Linked DNA regions of Drosophila melanogaster. The protein of the gene in region 2 interacts with the protein of the main gene of each other region in a pairwise test. Each region holds a gene or a part of one and is shown on either strand. Other genes may lie near its edges.

What was found.
Region 1: the proteins of CG15124 (region 2) and Ufd1 interact in a two-hybrid assay, tested with the Drosophila melanogaster proteins (one large-scale study listed by BioGRID).
Region 3: the proteins of CG15124 (region 2) and CG15152 interact in a two-hybrid assay, tested with the Drosophila melanogaster proteins (one large-scale study listed by BioGRID).

The regions. Positions count from the first base shown.
Region 1 is NT_037436.4:11,119,162-11,126,967, reverse strand, and holds Ufd1 (ubiquitin fusion-degradation 1-like), read left to right. Parts: upstream 1-3,751; 5' UTR 3,752-3,919; coding exon 3,920-4,046; intron 4,047-4,103; coding exon 4,104-4,927; 3' UTR 4,928-4,986; downstream 4,987-7,806. Other genes in the region: mRpL2 (mitochondrial ribosomal protein L2), read right to left, coding at 4,987-5,405, 5,562-6,027.
Region 2 is NT_033778.4:19,639,337-19,646,778, forward strand, and holds CG15124 (uncharacterized protein), read left to right. Parts: upstream 1-3,610; 5' UTR 3,611-3,701; coding exon 3,702-4,277; 3' UTR 4,278-4,362; downstream 4,363-7,442. Other genes in the region: CG15905 (uncharacterized protein), read right to left, coding at 7,253-7,328, 7,417-7,442.
Region 3 is NT_033779.5:18,110,640-18,118,024, forward strand, and holds CG15152 (uncharacterized protein), read left to right. Parts: upstream 1-3,907; 5' UTR 3,908-4,043; coding exon 4,044-4,382; 3' UTR 4,383-4,581; downstream 4,582-7,385. Other genes in the region: CG44476 (uncharacterized protein), read right to left, coding at 2,203-2,431, 2,492-2,496.

The DNA.
Region 1 (7,806 bases), on a different chromosome or scaffold from region 2:
GCTCCTTTTAAACTATAAAGGTATAAAGTATAAAGTATAGAGTATATAGAGCATTAGAATTTTTAGCTTTACATTCAGATGGTGAAATTCGCACAGCGCACTTTTCAATTTTCTACAGTTATTCAAGTTACTTATGAATTTGAACGTTCAAATCGCTTGATTTTTTAACTTTGGAACACCTTATCCTTCAATATATTATTTCTTTCACTATTTTCCAGCAGAAACTTGTGCCAGTTCATCTATTTACACTGATTATGTGCACTTTCTTTGAGTTGCACGGATGCACCGGGCGCGTCACTGGCGACCTTGACATTGCCGCCTATCAACTGCAATTGCAACTGGCTCTGCAAACAGTAAACTGCTATTAATATTGATTTAATTTGCCGCAATGTTCCAAGGACGGATGAGGTGAAAAAACCGACGGACAGGGCGAATTATCGCGGCCCAAAGCGGGCATTTTCTGCACGCTCAGTGAGTTCCACTTGTTGTTTTCCTGAAGCCGCCAGCCAGTGAGTTTGGGGGTGGTTGCTGCCGCAAGTTCAAGGTCGCACCACCGTCACACAAATCCGGGCTAACTCGTTTCAAATTAACGCCACCCGCTCCAGTGAGTGTCAAACTGTGCAGATGAATCAGCCCGTTTTCCATTCAATGGGCTAAAACCAAATCCAATTGGAAACGCGCTCAGGTGTGAAAGGGGATGCCACTCTAGTAATTAACGAATAACTGCAATAACCCAAAAACACACGACGCTGGGTTGTGCATGTGTGAGAAATTAGAGCTCCAGGAAGTACAATAACTTTAAAAGCATAAGTTGCACTTAAGCTATTGCAATGTATGATAAAAAAAAACATGATTCTCGTCTTTTTCTACCCAATTGTTTAATTGAAAATATTTAATTTTTTAAACATACTTTAAGCAGACTTCTATTACAAACTTTCGCGCTCTCTTCACACACATTAAGTTCATATATCTTAAGTGTTTAGCTGTCGTTATTATAGAGCGACCACTGTACGTGTGCCAACGTTTCTAGCACGTGTGACTGTACAAGTTCTGGAAGTAAACAAATGTGAGTGCGAAGCTCGTTTGGCAAATTTTACCTATTGCTCTTATTCTTTCATTCTCTCTCCATTCGACGACCTTCTTGGCATTCATAAAAGAGTTTAAACTGTGAAGCTGTGTTGTTTTTATTGGGTTTTTTCCATCACACGCGATCCGAAAATGGAATCACGAGTTTGTCGGCTGATATTCAAAACGTGAGCACAAAAAAAATATGAATAGAACGCTTCATCGAATTTCACATATGAATGTATGAACATATACATATGTATATACATACATATATGTATGTACATATGTTTGTGCTGTGTGCCTATAGAAATTCCACTCCCATCCAATACATTTTTTTGGGCACTTGGCAACCGGCAAATATGGCTATTGAATATTTCTGGGAACTGCTTGAAATCGATTGAATTACTATTTTCAGTAGTAAAAAGTAGGTAAAGCTAGGAAAGCCACTTGAAAATACATAATATTGAAAGCTAAGCAGTTATTTTAAACTATTTATACATAGTTTAATTGGGTACTAACTACCTCATGATAAATAAATCAAAGGGGTAGGTGGTTTATCTAAGTTTCTTTATAATTCTGAAGATATTTATATAAGCAGGTGTTCTCACTTGCATGAATAGAATCTCGTTGAAAAGGGGACATTTCTTATAATTTCTGAACGGAAATCCAGAACTTTAGTTTGAGAGACACTTGACCAGGTGCCATCCGAGCGAAAGATGCATTGAATCGGAATGGGAATCGGTCCACTTTGCACTCACACTCACTCCGTGCGGCGCCGAGTGTGTACACGCTATGACCTTGCGGGGTTGCTGCCACCCACCGCCCACTTTGAACCCAAACCAACTCATTCATGACCCAGAGCAATCCAAAACGAAATCCACGCCGTGATATCACGTTGTGCTGAAAACAAAAAATGTATAATTTCTTTGCTTGACGTAAGCGCAAAGATCTGATGTTCGGAAATTACGAAAAACGAAATGTTTTTTTTTCTTCGAAATTCTGCAGCATGCGTATACACAGATTTTTGGGAATTTTGCTGCTTGTGTCGTTGGGCTATTTTAAAGTTTAAATGCTTATCGGAAAAGCTGCTCCATTTCGTTGGCTGTGCGCTTGTTAAATTTAGTTCCCAGACGCAAAAACTGTACGTACACAACAAGATGCCGGAGTTTTTCTTCTACCCTTAGTACTTTGCTCATCACAGTGCGACTTGGCTATAAACGATTGTATTCTAATTTGAATTTTCAAAAGAGCAGGCGATTTCATTTCACAATATTTCTTTAGCTTTGCAAAGCGTAAGCAAGTGTCATGATAACGAAAAGTGGATTTTCCCAGAAATATTTATAAATAATTTTGATAAGTTTACACAGAAAGTAAACTAAGTTTTTAGCGGAAGTGCAATATAAACAACATTTTGATTCTCGAAAAGAGGTTATCTTTAAAATCAAAAACAGAAATCGTTGTGAGTCCACTTATAAGTAAAAACTTTTGGAAACTGGAATATGTTGGGCCATAGAGCGCTTATTAAATGAATTTACAAAAATTTGCAAGGATGCAACTGACGCCTTAAGTTAGGCTTCATTATTTGAAGCCAGCTTGTGAGTCACTGGAATTTCATATTCTCTCGATTTTAATACGTTTTACATGACAAAGACAAAAGATGGGTAAATTTCACAATAGAGGGGGGTGGGGCTCTTTGTTGTGGGGAAGTTAGGGCGAGAGCGAAAGAAAGGCGAAGAAAGTGGGGAGCATGATGGCGAGGGGAGTGTCTGGAAGCTGCCAGAAGAGACAAGAGAGCGGGAGAGTGCGCATCCTCTCGCTCTTTTCACCTTCTGTTCGGTGTTTCTGTTGTTGTTCTTGTTTTTGGTGTGGCTGCAGCTGCGAAGCAACAATAACAACCACAACAGAGACTCGAAAACAGCTGCACACGAAAACGGTGGCTGTCAAACTGTTTTGCAAAATTTAAAATGTAACTGTACTTGGCAAAAACAATACATTTTGCTGTATTTCTGTATGTCGTAAAAGATCTTTCGACCTGGAAGCTGGAGAACACTTTTTCCAGCCACTTGGCCACCACCCCGCCTTTGAACAAACCAACCAATCGATTGGCCAGCTTATTGATTTTTCTATTCGAACATTTTGCATTTGTTGCTCGTTTCGGTCTTTTGCTTAGTGTGTTTGGTTCGAAAAAAGTATTGGCAATCATGTGGGCATCGACATACACACTTTTTTTTTATCACACCCACGCGAAAAACACGCGGCGCCAGCCAGACTAAAAGGATACAGGCAGCATATCCTGCACACACACACACACACGCGCGCACAAAAAAGCTCGCCAGGATCGAGTGGTGCAGTTGACCAGCAAACCGCAGCTGCTGACAGCCAATTTTGAGTAGCGGAAACAGTTGGAGCTGCTGCCCCGAAATGGGTACTCACTTGATCAGCAGCACTTTTTCGAATCAATATACCCGTCTATTCAATTTTTTTTTAAGCGGGACGAAGTCGCGCGCAACCACCGGCTTGCTGGGTTTGTTAGAGATGTGCCGATAACTCGCCACTGCGATAGCTCGAGTTGCTACTTTTTGTTGTACGCCACGCGCTTGGGATTTTAGCGAAATATGCGTGCCACAACTTAGCTTGTGCCGCAACCCCACACAGTGCTGCCACCTGTGGGCGAAAAAGTTACGTCTACATGGTGTTCTGGTCACACTGCCCCCGCCGTGACAAACAAAATAGAAAAAAAAATAAAACAAAAGATAAAATTTTAGCCTCCCCCCTTTGAGAAATAAAGGGTCATTTGAGGCAGTTTAAATCGAAAAGAATCCATAGGCACGGAGAGCCCAGCACACATAGAATGTTCCACTTCAGCGGCTTCAACATGATGTTCCCGGAGGGACGCAATTTTCATGCCAACTACAAGTGCTTCTCCGTATCCATGTTGCCAGGAAACGAGCGAACCGACGTGGAAAAGGGCGGAAAGAGTGAGTTACGAGTGTAGGCTGGACAGAAATTATGTGAACAACACATTCCATCCACAGTTATTATGCCTCCCTCGGCGCTGGACACGCTCACCCGCCTGAATGTCGAGTATCCAATGCTGTTCAAGCTGACCAACGTCAAGAAATCGCGATCCTCGCATGCCGGCGTACTCGAGTTTGTGGCCGACGAGGGCAAATGCTATCTACCCCACTGGATGATGGAAAACCTGCTGTTGGGTGAGGGCGACATACTCAACATCGAGAGTGTCTCGCTGCCGGTGGCCACCTTCTCAAAGTTTCAACCGCACAGCACCGACTTCCTGGACATCACCAATCCCAAGGCGGTGCTGGAGAATGCATTGCGCAACTTTGCCTGCCTCACCAGGGGCGATGTCATAGCCATTAAGTACAACAAGAAGGTCTACGAACTGTGTGTCCTGGAGACAAAGCCCGGCAATGCAGTCAGCATCATTGAGTGCGACATGAATGTGGAATTTGAGGCGCCAGTCGGCTACAAGGATCACTCCGAAACGCAGGCATCGGGCTCTGGGCAGCAGGGTGCTGCTGGAACTGTTGGCGGCGAAATCGCTGGAGCCACCAACGCCATACTCGAAGAGGTCGTGGAGACCTTCAAGGGTTCCGGCGTACGTCTCGATGGTAAGAAGAAGAAGGAAAGCCAGTTGGAAACGCCGGTCGTTAAGAAGGTGCTAGCCCGCGGCGTTCCAGACTATGATTTCCAGTTTGGACTCATCCGTTTCGATCGCAACATTCGGCCTATCAGTGATAGAAGCCAAGAAGATGATGCCGTAGCTGGCAATGCGGACGCTTCCGATGCGGAGAGCTTCCACGGCACCGGTTTCTCGATGAAGAAAACGCGCAAATAGCTCTGTATCTCTAGTTCTAGTTATATATTGTGTGACACATAGAAATTAAAGGAAAAACCTCACAGGGGCAGCGTCAACTTGATGGCCTCCTCCTTGGGCGGAGCCGGTGGCGATATGGTGGTCATGGGCGGCAATCGGCGTATCTTGCGTCCGTGTTTGCCTTCCTTGCGCTTCCACAGACCGGAACGTGGTCGATTGCCCATCTCCCGCATCCGCTGGGCACTGCCCACATGCTCCTTGTTGTGTTCCGGGTTGGACAGGCGACCAACCGTCGCCATGCAGGTGCGCTGGAAGGCGAACTCCCGCTTCGAGGGCAGCTGCACCACCACCTTTTCGTCGAACTTGCGCAGAATGGTGCCGAAGGTGCCGGCGGCATGGATCAGGTGGCACATCTGGCCGGGGTTCTTCTCCAGACAGTGAATGCGTGTGCCCACGGGCAAGGCGCCCAATGGATAGGCATCGCCTTCGTTGGGACGCACTATGGGATCATACAAAAAAAAAAAATTATATTGGCATAACTGGTTGTTTCAGAGCCAGTAAAATTTCTAGATTCCATGCTCAGTTTAAGACTATACTCAGAGGATTACTTAGAAAACGTTTAATACTCCCGATGAGTAACAGTAAGTAAATTTACCCGGAATCCTAGGAATAAAGCGCGAGGTCTTGAGGATATCGCCAGCCTTCATGTTCTCGGTGGCCAGGATGTACTTCAGCTCATCGCCGACGGCAACCAGGGCCACTTTGGCGGTGCGACAGCCATCGCGTAGCACCTCGAGTACCAGTTCCTCCTGGGCGCCCTCCGTGGGACCATCCCGCACCCATTTAACCCAGCGATACTGCTGTTTGATGCCTCCGCCAATGCCCTTGGCCACCAAGCGACCGGAGACGGGATCCCGACCAGCCAAATGGGTGATCTTCAGCGGCTCAACGGTGTACTTCTCCGGAAAGTGCACGGTTCGTCGGAATTGCTGTCCGGCACCAGGTTTTGGTTTCTCCACCACTTTGGTTTTGCCGCGCAATTGCTGCAGAAACGCCGGCGCCGTGCGAAACGGCGTTTGTATAGTCAGCGTTGTGCTCAGCAAACGTGTTACACTTTGCATTTTCGATAGTTTTATTTGAAAAATTAAATAGAACGAAAATATATGCAAACTGTTACAAAATCGAAATGCGGCTGAAAACAGCTGTTACGCGGCGTTGCCAGACCACGAACGGGCCATGCCTGATTTCGGGCGCTAGCGTTGCCAGCATTTTGCTCGAACTGATCTCTTCTTCTTCTCCTTCACCGCGCTGAAGCAATAAGAATCGGGAAAACCGCATTAAAATCGCTGAAAAAGTGCACAAATCGGCTTTAAATTATTGCCCAATTACTAGTGTTACGTGCATATCGAGAGATTTCATAAATTGCAACAGCCAACGATTTTTTCCAACAAGGTACGCAAAATAATAAAAATAAACAAGACGAACAGAAAAATAATATACACACACAAACACGCAGCGAAAAACGTGTTGTGTGCAAAAAAAAAAGACTGAAAAAAAAGAACAACAAAAACAGTTCGAGTTTGATAACCAACGGCGAAAATATAAACAGCAAAAGAGAGAGCGAGAATTAGTAGTAATAAAAATCAATAGCAGAGTGAGCGGAAAATCAGCTTAACCAGCTAAATGGCATATAAATAAATATAAGGTTTTTATTTTGGAACACGCTCATCCAACACACATGCACACGCGCATACACGCACGCACACACACAGGAGTAAAGGTATGGGTGGCCTCAAGTGTGTGTACATATTTTGATGTTAGGTGGGAAAAAAGCGGGCGGCAAGTTTACGCAATCGCCGAGCGAAAAGCAAAGAGCAGCAGCTATACGTTGTGAAAAGTGTGCTTTTTGTGTGTTTACAAAGAGACAAACAAGACATCCGTCGTTTGTATGTACGTGCCTATGTATGTATGCGCAGGTGGAGTCGGTTGCTAGCTGAAAAATCAACGAGCGGCATTTTTTACGCATTTCCAATACGCCACATACATATATACGTGCGTCGTTTGCGCGTGTGTGTGTGTGGTTGTGTGTATTTTGGTGTTTTTATTTATTTATTGTGCTTCTCTTTCGTCGTTTGCCGTTACGAGTGATGTATGCATGTATGTATGTACTCGCCAAATCTATATGTGGCTGTGTGTGTGCGTGTGTTTACTTATATGACCGTATGTATGGGCGTTTGTTTGCCTTTTGTTGTTCTCGTTAATTTTATTTTGGTTTCGTTTTGCATGTTTATGCATGCAAGCTCGATCGATTTCGATTGATGGGTAGCCATGTGGGGCCTGCCAGTGCGAGAGTTCTCAATCCGTTCATGTGTGTTTGTGTCGCGAGTTCCAGTGTATGTGCGTGTGTTGGTGCCAAGTGGAACCAAACAAGTCAGAGAGTGGAGCAGTGTTGCCAACGTTCGTTAATAACCGCATTAAAAAAGAAGTCGCCTTTTTTTGCTCCCCCTCCGCCCCTTTGCCAGAGAAAACTCAAGATACAGATCGTTCTGCAAAAGTTTTGGTTGCCATGGAAGTTCAAGTCCCTCTGTGTGCACTTATTTTCTCCTAAAACACTCAAACAATGATGCATTTGCGGCGAATTCCATAGTTTGCCATTTGTTGCACAGGTGCATAATAAAGGGTTTTATAACTTTAATAGTGGTGGCTGGCAAATAGCCTGTTGTTTACATTCTATCGAAACGTGTTCAAAATCAACTAGTGCAAAATATGTAATTACTTTTATAAGTAGAACAACGTGTCCCTTTAATAGATATTTTTATAAATTTTAAAACTAATTTTAAATAAAATTAGTTGTTTAGCCGGAAAATGTGATCAAAAGTAAAAGGAACTAAATAAAGGTA
Region 2 (7,442 bases):
AAGGATCAAGTGTCGACACCAAAAGAATTTCCAGGTCAAAACGCTGGGCTGGAGATGGAATGCAATTAAGACAAAGCTCTGAAATTTATTATACGTCTTTAAAAACAGTCAATCTTAAACTGTAATGAAATTAAAGGTACAATGCATCTTAATAACAACCCATGTTAGAAATGTTAGAATTGCTTCTCTTATCAGAGTCCCGAAAATATGAGTTTAATGTGCTTTATTTAAGGAAAAACTAGCGTTTAGCTTGGTAGCTTATATTTGTGTTATTGAAGTAATTACAATATCAAGATGATTTCAGTTCACTAACAAGTATGTATGAAGGAATTATCTGGCATTTCTGAGGCCATATTTCATTATGGAGAGCCCTGCAGCTCGTTTAAGATTTGGCTATTAAAAACGGCGCCATTGATGCGAATATTTATTGTGGCCTGGCTTTTTCATAATGTTGGATTATCTAGGCACATGTCCTGCCAGGATTTATGAGCCAGGAATAGCACACAAGAGGTTGAGAGCGACGCTGCGGGAGGGTTGGCCAAAACCAAAACCAAGAGTCAGCTTTAAGCCGTAAGGAAATTGAAATCTTAAGCTTTATTGTTTTACTGGCCCCTCGTCTTTGCCATTCAGCTGAGGATCTGTGTGTGCTCGACGCGACGCATGCAAAGTGAAGCAGGAAAGTGAATAAAACTGCAGCAAAAGCAATTTTCATAAATATTTAATGGATAATGGCGAAAATAAGCGCAAGGAGCAAGACACATCGGCATGATGAGAGGGCAGGGAAATGGCCGTCCGTCTGCTTCTACCCATTCCCACTACCATTTTCCGCACCATCTCCGTTCTCGATGTATTGTTTTGTTTGTGTAGATATATATGTGCCCCTCTCATACAGGCACTTCACCCACCAACCCACCGTATTGATATGTCAGCATAACATATGTGGGCATTTCCCCGAGTGTGTGTTCGGCAATCTCAGCTTTTAGTTTCGGCCCAAGGCCCAGTGATTCTCATTAAAATTACAACACAAATAAAACGAAGAGGGAAGGTGGATGAGTGGTATCGACTTTTTTGCTTACCTTGTGATTTATTGGCTTACAAGAATTGCTTAAAAGTTGATCATTTTTTTTAAATTTTGTCGATTTGTGTTTTATAAACTACAAAAATTAGTTAGGAAAATAAGTGAAATGCCATAATGATTTACAAAATAATTGAAATATTATTTCCGGAAATCGGCATAACCAAAATGTTAGATACTCCTTTTGCCTGCCGATTACAGCGTATGAAAAGCCGGCGAAATGAGGGTAAAATTCACGCGAAATGGAGCAGCCAGCGAACGTGAGAGCCCGTCCATTGTCTTTATCCTGGCGCTTTTCTGCTCTCTGTTGCTCCTCCTGGTCGCTGGAGTCCTTTAAGTGTGCCCATTACAGACGGCAGAAATCATAACAATAAAAGTGTGACGGGACGGAAGGACAGAGGCGGTTGGCGGCTGGCGGATGGGCGACGGGCTGTTTGGGGGCCAGATAGCTCCCCCCACTTAATCGATGATGATGAATAATTGATTCGCTGCGATGCGCCCAAGCATGGAAATGAAAATGTCGGTGCATGCGGGGAGCGGCTTTCTGCTTCTGTTTCTGTTTAAGTTTCGGTTTCAGTGCTTCCCTTTTCGCACGTGTGTGTATGTGTGCCTGTCTGTGTATGTGTGTCGGCGTGTCCTTCTGTGTGTAACGAATGGCAAATTTCAGGAAGCGGAAATGGCAATTGCAAGCGATGGGAAAAGGCAGCAGAAAGACAACGACTGAGGCAAATGTGAAGTTGTGCGCTAAATGAAATGCCAACACAGCAACACGGCCGTGCAAAACGGAAATAGCAAATGCGAATGACGCTGGATCGTTGGACGGTTGGCTGGCTGGATGGCCGAAAAATGGTGTTGGGCGGGGGTCTTGGGATGACAATGGGTGTCCTGGGCAGAATGGGCAGACAGGTGCCAAGGCAGACAATTTGCCGGTATTTAAATTCTATTTTAAGTTCTGTTCAAGCGCGTCAGGAAGCAAACGTAAGGAAATGGTTGACCGTGAATGGTGGACACGTTTCCCACTAATATGGCTGGAAAGCTTAAGGCTTCCTTTTATATATATGATACATATTATTTAAAATATAACCATAGATTTTATAAAATATTATAAATATTTTATTAACACTCATAATATAAATTGCTTAGTTTTGTTTACTCGCCACACTCATTGATGTAACAAAAATGACAAGTAATTTTGAAGTCATTTCATTTTTCATTTGCTTGGGATTAACATTTTTCTTAAAGGACTTTGAGCGTGCATAAAAAATTATCTTTAGCACCATAAAGAACTATATTCACTGCAATTTAAAATGAAAATAAATCTGATCGGGTTAAATGAAAATCGACTCCAAAAGAAAAAATCCTATTTCATCAAGGAATATTCTCTTATTTTTTCTTTTGAATAAAGTTTCCTTTTCCATTTGACTCTTCACCGTCGTTCAGTCAGGGCTTTTTTTCCCCAGGCTACGTGTTTAAAAATATAATCGTATTGAATATTTAAATGCTCGCCAGGGCAAAAGTCGCCAAATACGCTGGCAAAACTGGACGGGAATCAAAATCAAATGCAATGCCTGCGGCTTCGGCGAATGCTGGCTGCCTGTCAGCCTGGCACAAAATTAGATTTAAATATTTTGGCATTTCCCATCAATTTTCATATAATGCAACCCCATCCTTTTCGCTGGGATGCAGGTCCTGTTGCATGGAGGAATGCTGATAGTGAGTGGGATTCGTCTGTGGCAAGTCATTCCAGCCCTACACAAGCGCACACATCGATGTGGATTGAAAGACAGGCGCACACAACCACACATGCTCAATCATTTATGCAGCAATCAGTGCTGACGTCTTTTCCACACGTACGATTACCGGCATAGAGAATCGAGCCCTACTCTCGGTTATGTGGAGCATATTGGGAATCGAAATTGAGTGCGGGTTAACAATGAGGCAGTTGAGATTGCGGCAGCTTCTCTCGAACTTCTGTTGCTCGTGAGTTTCTTGAATTTAAATCAATGGCCCGGGCATCCACTGCGTATGAGTAATATTATACAAGGATGAACAGGTAATTTAATTTAGCTTTTCGGAACAATTTTTTGTTCACAGAATGCAATCAAAACATGTATGAGATAATATACATTTAAACAATCGTTGTCGAATTATTTATTTTATCATGATCCCTACTTTTTTATAAATTGACAATCATTTAAGTAAACAATCCTTTCAGCAAAACAGAAATAACTCCTTTTTCAAGGTGCAACCGTGAAGGACGACTGCACAAAAACTCTATTGGATTATTTGAAGGTTGAAATCAAATTAAGTCAAGTGAATAAATTGACTTTTAGTGCATATAAAAATCGCAAAAAGCGCAAATAAAAATGAAATAAAATTGCGATGGATAAAAAGTTTAAAAGTGAATCCATAGAAATTCATCGTTTGCTGATGACGAAACATGAAAAAAGGAAACTTAAAATTGGTTATATATACGAAATTAACAAGGGAAATTAAACGATCACATAGCAAAGCATTTTTTTGGAAAGTAGTCATTGCATATATTGCTTTCTGAGAAACTTCGTATAAATTTAAATTATTAAAATAAACCGCTAGAAAAATAAGTTAAAATTTGATATCAATTAGAATGGATAACGACAATATGCTCGACTTTACAGACTTAATCAGCTGCAAGGACTTACCGAACATAACTCTGCACAATATCCGTCCCATTTACAGTATAAAGGTTTTCATGTCCGAACCTAAAAACTCCAATGTCTCTATTGCTGAATTAATCAAACGCCAGGAAGTGTCTGCAGAGCAATGTCGCAAGGCACTTAAAGTCATAAAGGACAGACTTCTTCTGAAAATGGCAGCGTTGCAAGAGCTTAAGAAGTATCTGCTGGATTTGCATTCGGAGATCAAAAAGCCCGGTGCAGGGACTCGTTTTGTGACCAATCAGGAGAAAGTTAAATTGCATTTCCTAGACGAGACGGAAATCAGAGAAGTCGAATTGTCTGACGCCGTAGAACGTTGCAATATAAAGCTGAGCTCGCTTTATTGCGAAATCCTGGCTTTGGACAGCGACATGGGCAGTGTCGCCTATTTGGAGAGGGTCGCCCAGATCAACAAAGACTTTATCATGGATTGGCATAAGACTCAGAGGCAGAATAAGACAAGCAACATCCATTGTTCCGGCCAAGGCGTCAAAAAGACTTTTTAATTTGGACTGTTTTAAACTTTACATGTTTCACTCATATGCAATTATTATCGCACTATTCTGGAAAATAAATATTTATCGCGAAAGCAAATACAAAATGTTTTATTACACCTCTCCGAGATTGAATAGTTGAATTTCCAGCAATGAAATTAGCCTTAAGTAATGTGCTCCTCTCTTAAATCCTATCCCTAGGAATCTTTTTTCCCCCTCGACTTTTCCTGCTTCGTGTCCTTCCGTTTCCCTTTTCTCCGTTTACCTGTCACTGACAGCCCGCTGGCCGCTTCATCTTCATTCCCCGTCCATGAATAATCCCTGCGACACTTGCGTTTCATGGCTTTGCATAGTTAGGACCTGTTAAAGGAGGGACCTGGTCCTGGACAGTGTGCTCAGGCATCTCCTCTCTTAGCCAGCGCTTAGCTGGACCTGGGGAGTTGAATCTGTAGCTGCACAGCAAAAAAAATTTTAAAGGTTTCAAAAAGATCTCAAAAAAATGTCCCAAGAGTTTTAAACTCTATATAGAATAGTCTTGAGTTACGTGTCCCGTTCAGGTAGTATTTTTAATACCATTTGCTGGCAAGTTACTAATATTTTCTCTGAGTGTTCAGTTAGCTGGGAACCGGAGCAGGAAGCCAACAACAGGTTGCGTGCCAATGCAGTTTTTCATCGTGAAATGTCGGCGCTGATAGCGATTGTAATTATTATGCTGAACTGCGGGTATGTATGTATGTATGCAAGGGGATTCGCTTTTACGAGAGGCAGAATGGTTCTATTTCAGGTCCTGGCCACTCTTACTTGTTTCCCATTCTTTTTCCGTCTTGTTGCTATCCACTCTCCGACGCATAAACACCGCTAGTTATGCAATAAATAAAATGCAATTGTTGCGTCACAAAAGCTACATAGATGGCAGTGCGTTGGTCAGAAGGGGGGATTGGCTTTTTGGCTCTGGGCTTTTGCCGCCATGTTTGCGAACAACAGCAAGATGGCGCCCCGCATCCGTTATAGCCGAACATCCAATTCCGCGCTCACTTTCGCTGCCTCAGTTGCTGGGCGTCTGCTTCACTTCCGGTTGGAAAAGTTGTTGCATTGTGTGCGTTTTCGTGGAGGTTCCACATCCGCTTTACCAGCTCTCCCAGCTACTCTAGCTTACTTGGCACCGCTTTAATTTGACAAACCATCGCATTTAACGGCCCGGCGTAGTTTATGCTCCTCGAACAGGCAGCGACATCAAGGCGAAAGGTCAAGGAGGTGGCATAAATAATGCAGCGAACAACGAAAACGACAAAGTTGCCAAAGACTTGGACTAACCGGCTGCTGTTGCTGCTGTTTCTGGCCAAAACTCACTTGGCCAGCATAGAAATTGCAGTTTACAGTTGCTAATTGAGTGTGCCTAGTCTGTGCAGGTGGCCTAATGTTGGTAATTAGTGTGAGCCAACTTTGCCAAAAAGATTCCGGCACAAAGTTGCCCAGGATGGGCTTTTGTCAATTGCATAAGTTGCCGTCGTGTCCGGAAAATCTATGTATGAGATTGGATAACAATGAATTATATTTAGCAAACGAATTTCAATTAAAAAAAACACCTTAATTGAGAATGATTCCAGTCTTAGTATAATTTGCTAGGTGGTAAAGGCACCGCTTGAATTTAAGTTACATATTGACTATATTATTATTTTACTCACCCTGATTAGCGTTAAACACCAAAGTGGTTCACATTTTAGCACACTATTATCCTTAGCAATATGATTTAGTGCTTTGTGGAATCTGCTGAATATACATGGAATGACTTTCAGGTGGAGCACATTAAAGCCCATACAGTGATATGCACTCTTGGCTAACTGAAATAGCATGTATAGGCCTTGCTGTGCATTCGGTTTAAACTCGATTAAAGCCACGCACAACGACATCGGAATAATGCAATTGTTTCGGGTATATAGCTGACCAGTTTATGGGCAATCCGAGAGATTTCGAGCGTCTGCAGGCAGGACCAAGCGATCCAGGACACGTGTGCGTGCTTTGTCTGGCCAGAGAGGACAACGAGGAGAGGTTGCCACATGTGGCAAATTAACTTTAAATTAAGCAATTAATTTAATTAGAGCACGGCGAGTGCACAGTGCGACCCCAAAGATTTGCCGCACACGCAACAGTTGCAATTAAGCAGCCTTCGCACACAGATGTCCCCACACAAATACAGGCGTAGTCACAGTAGTGCACACCCCCACTCACAGATACACATATTAACGTAAAACAATGCCGTTTCAGCTGCAATTGCATTTTAAGCGCATGCGGAAATTACAAACTCAAATTGATAAAGCAAAACCTGTGCACATGTGTGGCCCTGGCATATGGCATATGGCAGTAATAAAAATCTGGTTATATAAGGTGAAAAATTGGCTTACGCCTGGGACTCCAGCATGGCCAAAGAAATCCGAGTGCCAGCACATATGAAATCGGAATGCAATTCATTTCTCCATTAACCAATTAAACGCAATTCATCAACTGACGTTCGCAATTTGCAAAAAAATAAAGAAATAACAAAACTATTAATAAGGGATGTAAAAACTTTTACAATTTTAAATTTCCACTGACAGTCAACATTGAAAGGGTTTTTCAGTCAAACGGAAATTTGTTTTCAATTAAGAGTTGATTTAAATTTAACTGCCTTTTCATGACGAACGCATGAAAAATCAGTTATAAATACCTTCTACGGTAATATGCAGACGTTAAACAAATGTATGCTAAAACTTTTAATTTAAAACACCATAAGCTTCTTAACTTTCCTTTGCTTGCCAAATTCTCAACGAAAATCACAAGTCTTACTTTAATGAATATTCTTGCACTATTAAGTTCAAACAAAAGTGAGTAAACTCTTTAATTTACTGGCTTTCAGTCAATGTATTTCACGCCAATGGCTAAGATCCAATTAGTGGCACTTAAACTCTATGTCTGAGTTAAACTATATGGTAGTTAAAACTGTTAAGTCATCAAGCACTTTCTGCGGCATTTGCGGCTGCCAAAAAAGGAAAATTCATCCCCATCAGCATGCTGTACAGCTTTCTGCTATCGAAGAGAATGAGAGATACGGATAGTAAAAAGTTAGACGATTGGTAAGCGGCTTAGTGGTCATTTTGTATACATTTAGACTTACTAGATCGAGTCGGTGCACTTGCCCTG
Region 3 (7,385 bases), on a different chromosome or scaffold from region 2:
TCAGCAGAGAAGTGGAGCTGTGTCCGTGACAAGTTGTCCTGCACGCTTAACTTGATGTGGAGACAACAAGTGACCGGCAGGGAAATTAGTTACGGTGTCGCACAAGGACAAGACCAGGACTCAGAACTAATCCTTCGTCCTCCGACTGGTGGCCATATGTGTGTGAGTCAGTGCCTCGCATGCCAGATCCGTCATCATTAGTTGAATATGTCACAACAGACACTTGGCCCAATTGATTTAGTGTCATGCACTGAGCTCAACAGTTCACTTGCCTTCTGCTGCCATTTGGCAGCTATACTCGTCCTTGTACACGTCTTCCTTTGCCAGTTGTTGGCCGACATTCCCCGTTGACACTCTACGGCCAAAGATCGATGGCGTACAGAAATCAACGGGAAGTGAATTTCAAACAGTTGCGTAATTAACTTGGGGGCTTCATTAATCAAACACGCAGGCAAACATGAGAAGCACTTGAAATGGAATTATATATGCCAAAATTGAATATGCATTTTACATTCGGCTAACAAGATTAACTGATAAGCCGGATCTACGATTGTCGAGATTATTTTGTGTGTGGGCGTGACAATTATGGTTGTTAGAGTGGGCGTGGCAATCTTCTGAAAAGCCTGCCTACCTGGACTTTCGTACTTTTACAGTTCCCAAAATTAAAGCGCTAAAACGGACAGATGAACCGAACAGATAGACACGGAAAAGATCCTGATGAATATGCATAAGACACTTACCTGTTACAAACTGTGCAGCGAACGAATCTACTATATCCCTTTACTTTGCGAGTACGGGGTGCTGGGGTGGATTTCAAATGTTCATTGTTCTATAAATATTACTATCCGTATTAACTACCTGATTCAATATAGCTTACAGAGGCTTAGATGTTATTAAGCACGTGTATAACAGACAGAAACAACCAATAGCTTACGGCTTAACATTGGACGCTGCGTCTCGTCCTGATGAATATTCATGATCTCCGGGCATCCTTGCCGACCACTTGAAAGTTAGCCTGCTCTGCAGTTTGTCCGCCATGCCGAAATTATAATTCCAGCTCGCTCGTAACTCGCACAAACGTCAGTCTCATTAATTTTGGGCAAGTTGCAGTTTTAAAATTTAGTGCCGGCCCCCAAGTTAATTAACACCTGAGCCTCGGCAGCCGCCACCAAAGTGGGCGGGAAATGGGCTGGGAAAATCGAGCTGGTTTCAGCCACTTCAGTCACACTTTTGTGCTCGGCAGCCGTGTGCACTGACGCAAAGCGGAAGTGGCACTTTTCCCAGTTGAAGCTGGAGCGGAATTTCAGAATGGATGGGGGGATGGAAAATGGGAGCGGGGAATAAGGAATGGGTAATGGGGATCGGTAGCTGCCAGCAGCAGGCGTATCGAAAACCGAAACTTTTGATGGAAAAAGTTTGCAACAACAAACGCATGTTGGCGGGCAAAACAGGCAAGCTAAAAAGCTGAATAGCCGCGGCAAGGGCGCCTTTAAACCATCAAGTAAGTCGCTATAATTCGCGCGCACCGCCTCATGAATTTTTGATTCTTTCTTAGCATTTTTCACTCCGCCAGTCATTCTATCGCTTTCCATTTAATCTGAGTCTTAGCTTTGAATAATGAGCCCTGGCCAAGGTGCGAAGAACTGGGCCAAACTCGAGGGGGTTATCTATAAGCCGGGTTGATATGAAAAGTTCACACTGGGTAAGTAATTGCCTAATTCGAATGCATCGAAATGATAAAGTGAATTTAGTGTACCTTTCGAAAAATAAAAGTAACAATCTCCCATTAAAAAAACACAAACAGTAGACAGTCTGATTTTCGATATTATTTAAAAGTGAACACATTGTTGCACAATCGGTAAACAAGATCCGGAGTAGATCATCGAGCAAGATGTACAAGTTTTGTTGATGCGCTGAAGGAACTAAAAATGCCACAGAGGCAACTGCGAGTTTTCTCATATTTTTTTCCGCCGACTCTGCACTTTCTTTAAAAACCGCTGACTGATGCATGCTGATGACTTTGTCAACAACTTAAATTGTTTGGTGGCAATAAAGTGGACTGAAGTTTAAGTACATTTAGGACAGAAGGCAGCTTTCATTTTCTTCTAATGCAAACAAGTTAGCCCAGCTAAGCAGGATACATAATGCAATCAAATTAACTAGCGCTTGATACGTACTCAAAATCATTTTAAAATCCCTTTTTTAATTCCATCGTTTGTAGATGTATATGGACAGAACAATTAAAAGCATGCAAAAATTATAAAGAACACATAAGCCAACGAAATTAAAGTTTTGCAAAAAAGTATATGGCCTTGAGTCTTCCTCAGTTAATATTTCCATATTAGAGTCGTTATGAATCGCATCGGTTTGTTCTTGGTCCACTCCGTTGAGGGTGCAACTATCTCTATCCAATAAGACATCTTTTTCTTCACTTTAAATAAACAAATTATCACTTTAATGCTTTTGAAATACTTTCAAATAAGTATTATACCCCATTTTTTTGGAGGCACTCTGATCTTTTCAGCTTGAAGGCTCTGTATAAACTGGATGAAGGCACTCATCTGCAAACATGAAAAAATATTCAAGGGAATCGAATTCAAGAACGGAGGCACACTGTACTAAAATCTTTCGGATCGTATGCAGCTTGCACCATTAAAAATGATAATATATTGACAAATTTTTAAGGGACTACCGTCCTAAGTAAAACTATATAAGAGGTATCTGTAAAGTAAGTCTGAGATCACAAGTACATTCATTAGATAAATAACTAAAATTAGTGTAAGAAAAAATATGAACTAATAAAATAATTATTTAAGAAAATTTCTGAGAGGAGTAAACTCACCATAAGAACCCTAGAAAGGGTATTTGTAAGTAAAAACCAAAGCTTTCAGAGAATTTGACTGAAACTAAGAGACAACATTAAAGAGAACCTCTCAAGACGGAAATATATACAGCTGCGGTTAAAATAATAGCACTACTGGAGGTGGAAAGTTCATTTCCTAAAAATAATTATTAAATGTTTATATTTTTTAAAGTCAGATTGCATGAATAATAAGTACCATATGTTGGCTCTCTGAGCAAGAAATTTATGGTCTCTCAATGTAAAGGTTCTTTTTGTTTTTGGGCACTTGCTGCAAAAGTGCGCGAAATGAGGCGGTAACAAAAATAGCACTGACCACGTATTTGCTGAATAATAGAGTGATTGCTTTGGGTTTTTTTCGACAAATTTTGAAAAAGGAGTTGTATTAAAGGTTTTAATTGAATTTTTTCCAAACGAAGACCAAAAGTTCTCTAGTCATGGGTCGCGGCAAGCATTTTACCGTCGAAAAAAGAAATTTGATTAAAAACATGATCTCTAAAGGTAAAAAATACGCTGAAATTGGTGGCATTGTGGGTTGTTCAAGCTAAATGATCCGCAAAGCACTGCTGTTTGTCGAAAAGAACGAAACACGGCGAAGAAAGCCCTCAATGTCGCTTGGTTAGGCAAGGCAAGAAGGAGCCTTTAAAGCCGGCGACGGAACTGAAGAAGGAGCTTCAGATAGCTGAAAGCGGGGAAACTGACAAAAAAGAGAATCTCTCAAGACGGAAACAGAGTGCCAGAAGTATATAAGTACTGAAATGCCTAATATATGAATGTAAAACATTTATCGCTTTTAATAGATTGTTATCAAAGTTGATAGGGTTTGATGATTCGTAAGTAAGCATAAATTGATAACGTAGAACAAATTGATCTCTCTTCGCAATCTCTTACTTCAATGTGATTTTCTTGTCATTTTGAGACTCTTCTCCGCTCTCGTTTGACGGGTTTTCTCAGACTTATATAGTTATCTTATCTGAGTCACAAGCAACAAAAAGAAGATTGTCAGCTCTTGACGGTTCACTGTTTGCCTTGTTGTTGCCTCAATTACCACCTTCTGCCGTGGCGATAATAACCCAGACCCCAAACTGATTGGTAATCATGAAAAAGAGGGAAGGAAAAAACCGCTGAAAATGCCCGGAGACCAGCGAATCGCTCTTTAGTCGAGAGCAGAACGCGTTTTGAAATGGACACGGATGAGACTAAGGCTGGAACCTCGGGTCCGGGGACGTACCACGATGAGGTTGACTTTACCAGCGGATACGAGACTCAGTATAAGAAGGAGTACAGCCCGCTGAAACCGATTTTTGTACCGCCGCCGGATAAAAAGCACGCCTGGTTTCGCAACTGGTCCACCATACTGATGGTCAGCTTCCTGTCCGGGGTGTTTATTCTGGGAACCGTGATGCTGGTGGTCCAAGTTTTCACCGCCAGTCCCCTGCAGATCTTCATGATCGTGGCTATATATGTGGCTATAGCCGCTGTGATGATTTGGCTGGAGGTGCAGTCTATAAAAGTGCGGTGAAATAATATGTACGTGTCGTGACTAATTTAGAGCGTTATCGCACTTACGAGCTACGTTCTGTTTTCAAACAGTGGCAATCGAACTGTGTTCTGCTAGCAAATGCAAAGCTTAACTAAAAAGGAAGCGGCTTTACTGATTAGGCGCTAAGAACAAAAAATCATGATTTAATATAAGTTCAAAGTAAAGAAAGAAATCCCATAATCCATGTGTTTTATTTTTGACTAGACAGTGCTTTTAACGTTTTCCGATAATTCCGGTTCAATTAACTAATTATTTACGGCCCATAAATGAACGTAATCTAGAGAGCGAAACAAGGTGGCCAGATAAAGGGCTTTGTGTGAGATAAGCAAACAAAAGTGAACGAAAGAATCACGAATTCAAGCCATTTAACTGCAAAATAAATACGCATTTTGTTTGTCGATGTATAAAGGACAAATGTTGTAGTGACACATTAAAGCTCCATACATCACAGAGATTAACAAAGCAAAGTACATAAAAAAGATTCCCTTATCAATTAACTAATTAAATTAAGCACGCTAATTAAAAATTCATTAATAGCGGCTTAGCGATGGAGAGTGGAAATTCAATTATTTAACGCTGTTGTTTATTAAAGGAAGTGTCACAAACCGCATCTGCGCCGGTGTTTGGCACACAAAATTATTAAAATTATTTCCACTCTCACTTGAAAAAGAAAAAATACAACGAATTTTCAACTATGCCAGTTCCCAATGGAAATAGTTCTCTAAATATTTTCACATTTGCATTTTTCTAAATCACTTCTGTAATTGCTTTTCACATGCCACTGCTGGAAAAACTCCGACTCCCTCAGAATTTTCCATGTTTTTACAACAGTTTTCTCACTTGTGTGTGCCATCAAGTTGGTAAAATTCTAGTTTAATAGCTTGAAATGTTACGAACATTTGGTCAGCGTAAAAACAGCCGGACAAGCTTATTTCTCACTTGGAAATTCTAAAAAAAAAAAACGTTGTCCCATTAAACTTTAATTTCCGTTGACAATGGACGACACTTTTTGCTCTTTCCGTTTTTTGGCCCCACTCGAGACGGAGGCAACAGCTGACTTACCTTAATTACTCACAGGATTCCGAGCCGTGCTAATTATTTGCAGGGTGCACTTTTCAGACGGAGTGCAGAAGTCGCCAGCGCATTTAATTATAATGGCGCAAAGGGCGTCGAGCTTAGGCATTAATGCCATTTCCGGTCGCCGACCACCGGATGCCACGGCGCCGAAACCGCCCCGCGGACACTTTGTAATGCCATGGAGCAAAAAACCGGGTTGGAAATGATTTCACAAATAAAAAGCAGTAGCAGATATAACATTTTAATATCAAGGAAATGTCGTTTAAATACATACAACTGAATATTTATCGGATTTATGGCACTACATGCATACAAATAAAGTAATTTCTAGCATTGAGCAAAAGAATCAAACAAATGTGGCTATATTTGTAATTAAGCCCGCCATATCTTAAATCTTAATTCGAAACTGCCTTCAATACATTTTTGAATGTAGCGACTAAGTATGCAGTAGAATAAGGAAAAACGTTTTAACTAAAGGTGCCGCAAAGCGGTGCTTAAACCGTTTTGTGATAAACAACAATACAACCTTGAGCCAAAACAAGAAAAACGTTCGATATGCACATGCATTATTTTGCATTGATTTATTGCTCGATTGCCTGCTGGCTCAATATTGTACATAAAAGGCATTTAAACAAAAGCTGTCTTCCATTTTATTTCTGCCACTTTTTAAATATTTAAATCACAGCATTTTCCACAAGCGGGCAGCACCTCCATTATTCAGAGCTCGTACAAGCCGGGTAAAAAGGACACAAATGAGAAACTCAATTGCAAAGCGAGTGAAGGACAACTGTGGAAATGCAAATAAAATGTTTGGCTGCAACAGAAGCAGAATCCTAAGCTGCCCTCGGGAGCCAAGACATCTGACTCCACAGCCATGTTGGTCACTGCCAGGGGAATGTGTCTTAGAATTTGTTTAAGTAAATCTCACTTGAACGCTTTTCATTAGCCCACTCAGCAAGGACGAACTAGTCATTCCACCAGAAAATATAAAACAAGAATTGAAAGCATAGCTCCACCTAGCGGCGTATTCATGTGCTTTAAAAATTGGCCAGGATAGCAGATTGCTATTTTAAACCCAAACGTAATTTGAATAGATTCTGATCTAGAATAATAAAAACAATCCGACAACCTGATACATACTCCTTTTTTGAATTTAGTTCATTTATTTGACGAGTACCCGATATAAACATCACTTGCCAAAGTATTGCATAAGTCAACAACTAATGTGCAATGTGCGCTAAAAATTAATCGTACATTTCGCAATTAAAATGCACTTTTCACTCGGACACTCTCAAAGGCCACAATACATGACCATATTATGTTAATTATTTGTGTAAATTTTCCATACTTAAGCGACCTGTTTTTTCGCCATACATTATTTAAAACCGACAGTCATACTTTGTATGGCCGCCTTACTTAAAATTTCACCAATATGAATTGAATAAAAAACATCTTTTTTGCTTGTACATTTTAAAGCGCTATATTTCTTTATTTAAGTCCAAGCAAAAAGTTCTTCGTTTTAAATGAAACCAAACGGGAGAAGCGTTTCATCTGTTCCAATGAGCTCTTTCATGTGCTAGCCAGCACCCATTTGAATATTCAATTAAGTCTAACTGGCAATTCAGTGATAAGACCCACGCTGAGTTAGTCGCCACCCCAAAATAAAGCCAACTGAAGGCCATCTAAAATGGCCTTGGAACATGGCCTACTGGTGATAATGTCAGTTAATACGGAAAAGGATGGCACCAAAGCGTTAAGTAGTTAGTGTTTTTTTTTCCAAAATAAACAATTATGGTAAGTTCTTATTAAACTTAAATACACCTAAAAACTAATAATAATTGATCTATGCATTATTATTATTATTTCGTATTTAAGTTGGTTCGTAGTTAGTGTGTCGCATTTAGG